3 linked regions of the Danio rerio genome follow. The protein of the gene in region 1 purifies or fractionates together with the protein of each later gene. This does not show direct contact. Links are inferred from orthologs where the notes say so. Each region holds a gene or a part of one and is shown in the gene's direction. Other genes may lie near its edges.

What was found. Proteins that work in one complex are often made in the same cells at the same time.
Region 2: the proteins of nop58 (region 1) and ruvbl2 purify together in Homo sapiens (affinity purification with mass spectrometry; 5 studies listed by BioGRID and IntAct, with this or other methods). This does not show direct contact. The link is inferred for Danio rerio from reciprocal best matches to the Homo sapiens genes NOP58 and RUVBL2.
Region 3: the proteins of nop58 (region 1) and nufip1 purify together in Homo sapiens (co-immunoprecipitation; 3 studies listed by BioGRID and IntAct, with this or other methods). This does not show direct contact. The link is inferred for Danio rerio from reciprocal best matches to the Homo sapiens genes NOP58 and NUFIP1.

What each region holds. Positions count from the first base shown.
Region 1 is NC_133181.1:10,590,311-10,593,464, reverse strand, and holds the end of nop58 (nucleolar protein 58), read left to right. Parts: intron 1-252; coding exon 253-401; intron 402-481; coding exon 482-597; intron 598-1,503; coding exon 1,504-1,578; intron 1,579-1,656; coding exon 1,657-1,707; 3' UTR 1,708-2,506; downstream 2,507-3,154. UniProt on the Homo sapiens protein: Required for the biogenesis of box C/D snoRNAs such as U3, U8 and U14 snoRNAs. Part of the small subunit (SSU) processome, first precursor of the small eukaryotic ribosomal subunit.
Region 2 is NC_133180.1:31,375,410-31,379,507, forward strand, and holds the start of ruvbl2 (ruvB-like 2), read left to right. Parts: upstream 1-1,298; 5' UTR 1,299-1,346; coding exon 1,347-1,358; intron 1,359-2,036; coding exon 2,037-2,091; intron 2,092-2,631; coding exon 2,632-2,687; intron 2,688-2,786; coding exon 2,787-2,928; intron 2,929-4,098. UniProt on the Homo sapiens protein: Possesses single-stranded DNA-stimulated ATPase and ATP-dependent DNA helicase (5' to 3') activity; hexamerization is thought to be critical for ATP hydrolysis and adjacent subunits in the ring-like structure contribute to the ATPase activity.
Region 3 is NC_133181.1:63,100,446-63,104,453, forward strand, and holds the start of nufip1 (FMR1-interacting protein NUFIP1), read left to right. Parts: upstream 1-1,208; 5' UTR 1,209-1,214; coding exon 1,215-1,234; intron 1,235-1,263; exon of another isoform or gene 1,264-1,330; coding exon 1,331-1,512; intron 1,513-4,008. UniProt on the Homo sapiens protein: Binds RNA.

The sequences.
Region 1 (3,154 bases):
AAAGATATAATTAAAAACTACTTTGTGTTCATCTGACTGAAAAAAGTCATATGCAGTGAGGATGGCTTGAGTAAATGATGGGGCTAATTCTCATATTTGGGTGAACTAATTCTTTAAGGTTTCCACAAAAGCGCCTTGTTTCTTGAGCACAAAATCAACAAATCGCAATAATATGGCTTAAATTCTGCTTTGCCATCACAGCAATAAATTACTGTTTTTAATGCAGAACATGATCTTTTCACTTCCTATCAGTGATGTAAAGGTATATGACCCTTCTGGTGACTCAACACTCCCCACCGTCTCGAAGAAGAGGAAGATTGAAGAGGTCGAGGAGGCCGAAGAGGAAGACCAGCCCATAGAGGCTAAAGCCAAGAAAGTGAAGAGGGAAGCCCCCGCGGAAGGTGAACATCCATACGACATAACACCGCAGATACTGACACGCGTTACATTCAGATAAAGATTAAATGAATTTTTATCACAGGAGAGGCTGAAACAGAGACTCCAAAGAAGAAGAAGAAAAAGAAGAGGGCTGAGGAGGAACCCAAGCAGGAGGAGGAGGAGACTGCTGTCAGCCTGGTAGAAGAGGTCAGAGAGGAGGTCAGTCATAAATTCATCTGACTCATTATTATCCAGATGTGGGATCATTCGCTCGAGTCTAGTTCATGTGGTGTCCACATGGTCTTGTAGTCTTAATGTCTTAAGTTTCAAAAACAAAATTTTAGGCCTTAAAAATCTTAAATTGTGTCGTAGGTCTTAAATCATTTGGGTCTTAATATTCCTCTGTCAATGTAAAGCTACTGACTCATCCAATCAGTTTTTCTCAATAAAACATTAACAAGTTACGTTTTAACCCTATTTTGCCAATAAGATGCAATTCTTTCGAACGATAATATTTGTTTAAAAGTTCTCCTTGTCTTTGACGTTGTTCTGCATAAATTTGATAAATTATAGTAAAAAAAAATTTGTTAAAATAAGGGCATGTATATAACTAGAGTTTACTAGTTTTAACACTTTATGATGTGGCTAAGAAATTATAAAATTTTTGATGAAGTAAAACTTCCGTTTGCTCAATTGTGCAATTAGAATTTTTTTTTAGTCCTTTAAGTGTTAAATTTCATCATAACAGCCTTGAAAAGGTCTTAAAGTCTTTAATTTGACTTGGTAACACCCTGCATGGTCATGCTTTAAAGGTCATGCTTTAGTCTTTAGATCAGATTTTATTCCAATTTTATTGTTTGTGTTTGTGTTAAAGTGTTAGTTAACCTAAAACTGAGAAGTGTCATTTATTCACCCTTGTTAGAAACCCAAGGGTTTTTTTTTTTTTTTTTTTTATCCTGAGTTTTTTTATGTTTATTTTATGGACTTCAGTGGTTACACCATTCTTTAAAGTACTTTTTGTGTTAATGAAACCCTAAACTTGGCAGAGAGTGAACTTTTAATCTTTGGTTAACATCCTTTAAGTATGTTTTGTGGAATTTTAACAAGTTGCTTTTTGCTTTATAGCCGTCAAAAAAGAAAAAGAAACGAGCGGCTGAGGTGGAGCTGAAAGAGGAGCCAGAAGAGACTGTGGTAGAAGAGGTAAGAACCGTGCTACAAATACAATTATATTATATCATATTTATATTTTGAAGCTCTAAATTCCCCTTTCTTTCACAGACGACAGAAAAAAAGAAGAAAAAAAAGAAAAAGGTAAAAGAAGACGAATAAACCAACAGGACTCTTTCCATGAACTTTTTGTATATAAGACATTTTTATGGTGTTTTTGGACATTATATGGACATTATCCCCCTCTCAAACAGTTCCATTTGACTGTTGTCATTTGTTTAAAAAAATATGCATTTAATTTTTTAATTATAGGATGTTTTCTCCACACATTGCTTTGATTTGTGAGAGAAAAGTCCGTAAAATCCCATATTTGATTGAGTTTTTCTAGATCATGCAGTTCAGTTTGTCTTTTATCAATGAATGTTTTTAGTTAAAAGTGAGAACGGGGTCAAACTAAAGACGTCTGTGAGCATTGTGATGTAAAACTGGGTCATTTTGTCTCAGGTTTATTAAATACTGGATGTTTCTAGCATGTGGACTCATTGAATTATTATTATTATTTATTTATTTTTTACATTTAAACTGAGTTTTGTTTTTGTTGTAAGATCATTATGCTTAGTACATTGATTAGTATAGAAAGATATTAACATGCCAACTAATTGACCATTTACTAAAACTTTCTGTATTGAAATCCACTTGAAAAGAAGAAATATGGTTTACCGTGGTTTTAGTGGAGATGAAGCTGTGGACCATGAGAACGCTTGGCCAAAATCGTAGGATGAAGTACTTTGTGTTTTATTTGTGTGTTTTACATTCCTCTCTGGTTCCTCCTCTTTCCTTGTTCCAGTAAGATCAAGCCAAGTCAAGAAGATTTGCCAAAACGCAGCATAAATTTAGCCGACCATCAGCTTGTTCTAGGTCTAATGAGCAGGAGATAGAGCAGCTATTTTGGTTATCTCTTTAACATTAGAGGAAGTGACAGAATCTGGATATCGCTGAGCCAAGACACCAGTAAATCAGATTTATGGTGAAAATCAGCTCATTTTTAATTTCGCTAGCAAAAAGGTAAAACCCTTTATTATCTGAAGGTGCTCTAAAGTGAAAAATGTTAAGCCACATACACCTCTTTATTCCACATGGTGAAAACGGTGGTTGAGATCATATTAAATGAGATTTTTACTTCTGATAGTAACTTGTAATCTGTGTACATGCAAAACATTTACATCATGCCATAATATTAAGTATATTAAAATATTCAAACACCCCATAACTTAATTCAGGGTCAAGAAAAAGATTCTAGAAGCAATTTGTTTTTGTTTGTTTTGTTTTTGTTTTTTTCTTCATAAATGTTACTTCATTTGAGGTATTAACCTCCTAGGCGGGCTTAGTTGCCACATACATGGACAACACATTTTAGCTCTTAAGTGGCTATTTAAAATACTTTAAATGTTTTATATTTTGTTACATAGTGTCATCCTGCAGCTGTTTTGCAGCATATGAAATGTCCCAAACACTATTTTTAACTTCAAAATGGGCAGAAAATGTTTTACTCTCTAATATCCAAAACATGTTAAAAAAAATTGGTTTATGCATTAAAAAACAGTAAGGA
Region 2 (4,098 bases), on another chromosome or scaffold:
GTAGGAAGTTTCCAGAACTATACATCAAATAATTAATATATTTCAAGATTTTTTAAACAAACTATTTCTCATGATTTTTTAATAATGATTATAAAGATTTTTATAACCATTCAAGATTTTTAAAATGAAATGCATCATTCACTTTTGTTCATATCTCTGACAGTTTTACCAATTAAAGTTAAGTATTAATAACTACAGAAAATTGGTTGCTCTACAATTTTTTGCCAAAATTTTGCCATGGCCTTTTTTTTTTTTTTTGGTTTTAACAAACTTATCCCTCAAGTTTTTCTAAACTTTTATAAAAACATTCCTCCTTTCCCACTGCTGTTGCTGTCACGTTACGTGGACATTGGAAAAATAAGACCTGTGCAAAAATATTTAACCTAGAACAGCAAATTTAAGACTTTTTAAGGCCTAAAAGTTCGATTTTTAAATTTGTAGACTTTTTAGGACCCCGCAGAAACCCTGCTGTATGGTGATGACACCCAAAGGTTATTTTTATATGATTATTTACTTTTTTAAGGAACTAAATTAATATATAATTCCTAAAAAACATTGGCACGGCACTGCCTTAAAATAGCCACAATCAGGGATGGGCTGGGTTGGGCTTTTGTCTACCTGAGATCGCTCTAAGATTTCAGTCAGTTGAATGAGTTTAGAGGAGTGATTGTGTGTGTGTGTGTGTGTGTGTGTGTGTATGTGTATATATATATATATATATATATATATATATATATATATATATATATATATATATATATATATATATATATATATATATATATATATATATATATATATATATATTTTTTTTTTTTTTTTTTTTTTTTTTTTTTTTTTGCATGTATGGTTATGACCGTGTACCAAGCTTAATTCTGGGAATGGGAACGTATTACAGTAAAAGGTAGCAGTTTTATTTTACCCAATAAATGCATTGATACTATCCTCTAATTTTAATACAGTCAATCAAATGAACTTAAACTATTAAGAAATGCAACAAATATTTGTTTGGGCCTGAGCTAGAAAATCAAATTTAAGTTTTTGTATCAGTTTTGCTTAAGTAGCGGACTAGTCTGATCATGTATAAATATCATTATAAATGTATTGTATAAACATTATTATAACTAGGTCTACATCATGCTGACATTCAAAAACAAAGTGACATGAAGAACTAACCACTGATCTTCTATATAGAAACAAAATATATCATCAGTGATGTTTTTTCTCATGTGTGATATTTGATACATGAACGAAGAATCCAGAACTCATGTAGACGGTCACTTGTTTCCCCCGGACGAATTTCCAATGCGCACCCATTCAGATACAACCGCCTTTCGCGAGAGAACATGGCAGCGCAGGTATGTTATAAATAACGTTTTATTTCTGCTTTCTTGACCTATTTGCTACCTGCTCAGGTTAAACACATAACACAAATGTATGCACCACTACTTTGTGCTGTATGTATGCCGTTGAAATGTTTTGTTAATGACAATAAATACGTTTCATATGTGAGTGAGCTCGCTTTTAGCACATGTGCGTCAATGTATTACAACAATAATTCCGAATACAGAAGTTTGGTATTTTGATGTGTGAATTTGTGAAAGTTGCTTTTATTGAGACATTTGGACTTTGGGAATCCTCAGAGAACTCTTATCCAACGTTAACGTGAACATGAAGCTTGTTTTATTGTTGTTCACCTAACGTTATCATGTCAACGTTTCTGTAATATGAAATTCATATAACATTACGTACATCGCTTTATTAGAGCATATGCCACGAATTACTGTATTAAAACTGTGCATCTTACGTTATATATTTGTGCTAAGTTAACGTTACATTGCTAATGTTGCCGTTCAGCTAACGTTAGTTCTTCTGCTGTGTTGAATGTGTCACTATGGCAACGCAAGCGCCTAACGTCTATTGAGCGGTCAAATTACATATAAATAACACTCACATACACAAAAACACAATAAAATATGTCTTTATAAATAACTTTTAAACGAATATTATATTTACCTGTTTGTTCACTAATGTAGGTGGCAACCACAAAGGTTCCGGAGGTGCGGGACATCACTCGCATTGAGAGAATCGGTAAGAAAACACCTAACGTTATCTATCCTAAAATAAGTTAAATAAAAAAATACAAAACAGCACTAATGCAATGAGAAGATATTTTATTTGCTATATACTAAATGGGGGCAACATGGTGGCTCAGTGGTTAGCACTGTTGCCTCACAGCAAGAAGGTCGCTAGTTCGAGTTCTGGCTGGACCAGTTGGCATTTCTGTGTGGAGTTTGCATGTAGACGTGGGTTTCCTCCGGGTGCTCCGGTTTCCCTCACAGTCCAAAGACATGAGCTATAGGTATATTGAATAAACTAAATTAGACATATAGTGTATGTGTGTGAATGAGTGCGTATGGATGTTTCTACCAGTTTGAGGCACGAAGGGCATCTGCTGTGTAAAACATATGCTGTATGAGTTGGCGGTTTATTCTGCTGTGGCGGCCTTTGATGAATAAAGGGACTAAGCCAAAGAAAAATGAATGAATGAATGAATGAATATACTAAATGGAAATACAAAATCAAGCAAAGTTGTTCCTGAAGTGACACACATCTTGGCTTTTCTCATAGGCGCACACTCTCACATTCGTGGCCTTGGGTTGGATGATGCTCTGGAGCCACGACAGGTAATCTTAGACTCTAATTGATTTACCAGTGGCTTAAATGTGAATCACAGTGTGTTTATAATAAACAATTCTAAATTATAAACCTTTCTCCTTCACTAGGTGTCTCAGGGGATGGTGGGCCAGCTGGCATCTCGAAGGGCAGCCGGGCTGATTCTTGAAATGATCAAAGATGGTCAGATTGCTGGTCGCGCAGTCCTTATCGCTGGCCAACCTGGGACGGGCAAGACAGCTATTGCTATGGGTGTGTTATTTTCATAATAATTATTATGAATAATTCAATTTAGAGTAAATAACTCATTTACAAAGTTAAACTAAGCTGTTGCACAGCATTTGTACTTTTTTTTTAAATCACTGTAGTTGTGTGTATCATTAATTTCTTAAATGTTATGTGTAAATGGTACAGATGCATAAAGGACTCATTAACAGGGTTCATATCGTCATGGAAAACCTGCAAAGTCATGGAATTTTCACATGACATTTTCCAGGCCTGAAAAAGTTTTGGAAAAACAAAAAACCCACAAAGTTTTGGAAAAGTCATGAAAAACAGATATCTGTGTACTGTACTGTGTACTCTCACATTATTAGTGCTGTGTAAGCATTTTCTAAATCAATTTTACATAGAAATAAAAATTAATTGAAACTTAAGTAGATTGCTGGGTATTTTACGATATGTTGTAAGAAATTGGAATATGCATTGTTTTTCTTTTACTACGCATATGTAGACATTGCATGAAACATTAGGTCATGAAAATTTACTTTAAAGCCTTGGAAAAATCATGTTAAATTTAATGAAATTTTAGTAGTAAAAATTTGTCTGAACTCTGCTTTAGCATTCAAAACAGTGAAAGCTTAATAAAGCTTTATATGTCATCCACATACGTTAGAATGTGTCCTATTTACTTAATTTTGCAAAAATTTGTTTAGTTTTTTTTCATATAATTTTTATGTTTTTATGCTAAATTATGGAATATTATGTTATTATTATAGATGGGCATAGATTAAATTTTTTTTAATCTCGATTAATTTTGGAATTAATCTAGATTAAAATGGCTCATTTGATTTCTGCCGAAGGCATTCAGAATATGCGTGCTACCCAAATATTAAGTCTTTGAGAACGAGTTTCTAAAGCCAGGTGGCACATTAGACCGGGGACTCATCTCCTGTTTCCAAAATGCATCACAAACTGCTTGAGAAACTGTTCTACTATGATAATTGGTGATGAAAATAAAGGATGTTCAATAAGACGTACTTGTGTTTACTAACTGTTTATTCAGTTAAACACGGATTTTGAACTGTAGGCCTACATAAGCTCGAAACAGCTAATTATTATTATTATTATTATTATTTTGATCACCTTAATCCGACTAAAGTCATAACTGAACTTAACAGAAATGGAATTAAGACGTGGAGT
Region 3 (4,008 bases), about 53 Mb from region 1:
AAAGGCACAGCTAAAGTAGTTCCGGCAGGTTTAGAGCGCATTACAGCTCCATATCTAGTTATATCTCAGCTACAACAGTCAGATATCACAACAGAAGGAGGAGATGTGGAGGACACACACCTGACTAATACTACATCTCAGCAGCGGTGCAGGAGAAGAGGAGAGCAGTCATCACCTGCGGCTGACAGCGGATTATCAGAGAATAATGCACAGCTGAGGTGTAATGCTTTAACTTTTTAAAACTCAACAGAGCGGAGTAAAATATCCCATACATCACTTTAATAAATATGAATGTTTTATTAAGAGATGACGTGTAATTTTCATTCCCTTATCTTATTGTTCCATGTCATATTTTTCATTTTACTTTAATGATGCTGAAAGAACAGAGTAAAACAAATAGAAAAGCACAGTGGTCAGGCGTGTACAATAATACATATAAATAAAAGCACACACAACTATTTTAATTGCTTTTTTATTAGTAGCATCATTAATGGTTATATATATATATATATATATATATATATATATATATATATATATATATATATATATATATATATATATATTTATATATTTATATATGTATATATTTTTTATATATAAATTTATTTATTTATTTTATTGATAAAATATAGTTACAAAGTAAGGACAGAAGAAAGTTTGGAGAACAAAACTGAACAGAGGCTTAAAAATAATTAAAAAGTAAAATAATTCTCCAATTAATAATATTATATAGATTTTAGATAGAAACCCAATAATTTTTTGTAGTTTTAAATAGATCAATTTTTGGAGTTTATATTGGACGACTCTGAATTTTTTTAATTTCACAGATGAAAGTGGGTAAAAAAGGCTGATTGTTGGTGTGTTTGCTCATATATATATATATATATATATATATATATATATATATATATATATATATATATATATATATATATATAATATATATATATTTTTTTTTTGGATTGCCACAGCGGAATGAACCAAAAACTTATCCAGCCTATGTTTTACGGAGCGGATGCCCTTCCAGCCGAAACACAAAACTGGGAAACCGGAGCACCCGGAGGAAACCCACGCCAACACGGGGAGAACATGCAAACTCTACAAAGAAACACCAACTGACCCAGCCGGGTTCGAACCAGCGACCTTCTTGACGCCACCGTGTCGCATTCAAGTTGTATATTTTACGTCATCCAGCAAGACGAGCTCAGCGCATGTCGGAAGTGACGTATCGGTGAGAGAGCGCACACACGTGTTTTTATCTGCATGTTTCCGCAGCACATGTTTGTGTTTATACGAGTGTGTGAATCTCCATCGAACCGCTGTGAAGTTTAAGCCGGAGAACCGTCGCCATGAGCGGGCAGCAGCAGCGCCTGCCCCCGCCGGACTTCAGCGCGGAGCCTCAGCAGAGCTCCAGAGCCTTTCAGGCGGCCCGAGACTGGAGCTGGAGCCAGCCGGAACCCGGGGTGTGGAGCTCCAGAGGCGGACACAGAGCCGCGCAGCCCCGCGCAGGTACACATTGCTGGAGAACTTTCATAATAGTTATAGTTCAAAAGCAGCTTTACAGCAGGCGCACATCACAGGAAAAAGCCGGATAGTTTGGCTGGACAGTATATATATAAGCACAGTTAATCTCAGGGGTGTAGAGTTACTAACTACAAATACTCAGACTACTGTAATTGAGGAGTTTTGCTCGATATTGTACTTTACTAAGTAGTTTTTAAAAATGTGCTCTTAATTTACTTGAGCACATGTTAACTGCAGTATCAGTGCTGTTACTCCACTACTGTCCTTCATCCTGCATCACTGCTGTATTTACTCTCCTCTATGGGGATCAGAGAGATCAGTGCTGATTCCTGCCCAGTCAGATCACAGAGAAGCTAAACCCATCATACTGAACTATCTCTAGACACGTGCGATTCCAAACAGTTTGCAGCAGTTATGCAGCATTAAAAGTGTCCAAGAAGATGTGCAGAATCTTCACACACCTGACCCAGACACTGTTTAGAGGATGTCAGTGATGAGAAGACGGCGGATGTTTACTGTATGATGAAACACCCAGCGGGTACAAGAAGCCAACATGATGTCAGATTGATGTTGTCCCCTGAGGACATAGGGCAGCTGTGTCCAAACTCAGTCCTGGAGGGCCGGTGTCCTGCTGAGTTTTGCCATAACTTGCTTCAACACACCTGCCAGAAAGTTTCTAGTATACCTAGTAAGAGCTTGATCAGCTGCTTCAGGTGTGTTTGATTAGGGTTAGAGCTCAACTCTACAGGAGACCGGCCCTCTAGGACTGAGTTTGGACACCCCTGTCATAGGGCTATGACGGTGCATTTTATTTGGAAATGAAAATCGGGTTGACGTCAGAACTCAACGTCAATGTCCAACCTAAAACCAACCAAATATCAACGTCTAATGATGTCACAGCTTGTCGTTGTGTGGACGTTGCCACTGTGACGTCTGTCAGATGTTGGATTTTACATTTACATTTAGTCATTTAGCAGACGCTTTATTCACACAACTATAAGAACAACAATGAAGAAGTGCTGTCGGCAAGTTTGTAAGAAGCAAAACATCAGTCAATTTTTTATTTATTTATATTTTCTGTAGTACAGTTAGCGGTGGAGTCAGAGAGGCAATTGCAGATTAGGAAGGGAAGTGGAGACTAAATAGTTGAGTTTTTAGTGGTTTCTTGAAGACAGCGAGTGACTCTGCTGTTCTGATGCAGTTAGGGAGTTCATTCCACCAACTGGGCAGATTGAATGCGAGAGTTCGGGAAAGTGATTTCTTCCCTCTTTGGGATGGAACCACGAGGCGACGTTCATTCACAGAACGCAAGTTTCTGGAGGACACATACATCTGCAGAAGTGAGAGCAGATAAGGAGCAGCAAAGCCAGAAGTCACTTTGTAGGCAAACATCAGAGCTTTGAATTTGATGCGAGCAGCAACTGGCAGCCAGTGCAAACGGATGAGCAGCGGAGTGACATGTGCTCTTTTAGGTTCATTAAAGACCACTCGTGCTGCTGCGTTCTGGAACAGCTGAAGAGGTTTGATAGAGTTAGCTGAAGCCTGGCTAGTAGAGAGTTGCAGTAATCCAGTCTGGAGAGAACAAGAGCTTTTGGTTGTCATACCTGATGAATAAATAGGCTCGTTTGAGGTGCACCTCGCCTTGTAAACGAGAGCAGGCGTGCGCAGTAAGAGGAGGGCTCAAAAATTACATCAGAAGTCGGACACCTGCTGAATCTCGCTGTTTAGCCACCTGGAATCGTCACCAGTGGCGGAGATCTCGTACGCGTTTTTTATCGCAGACGAATGACCTCATGAAAAAATACTATGGTGATTTATAGCAAATATTATAGCATTTTTGAACATGTTTATTCAGTATTGGGTTGTGTTTATAGTTGTTGTGATACCAGAACTATAAAATTTAAATAGGCTATTTTATAACATGGTTCAAAAGCACTACAGTATACATTACTATAGTATTTTTTAATGTGGGAGTGGATGCAATAGAAATATCACTGTTTTTACAGAGATTTTCAGAATTACAGAAGATGAACAGCTCATTAACTAAAAGAGTGTATTAAAAATATAATTCTGTATATTCAACAAACGTTAAAAGAATAACAAAATAAACAACTTATACAGCAAGAAAACTCTCAAGAAACCTAATTTGGCTTCATTATAAATGAAGTAGCCATAGCAAGATGCTTTTGAGTGACGGTTCATGACAAATGTTTGTTTGACAAATAAATTCTTAGGGGGTTAATTATATTGACAAGCTTATTAGGTCTATAAAAACTGCTTTTACTCCAGCCAGACTAAAATAAATAGCCCAAGACTTTCTCCAGAATAAAAACTACTAGACTGTAGGAAAAACTGTGGAAATGTTCTTGGTCTATTAAACATGACTTTTGACTCCACATACATATACATATATATATATACATATGTGTGTGTGTGTGTGTGTGTGTGTCTTGTTTACTACACCCTTTTCACTTCTCATAC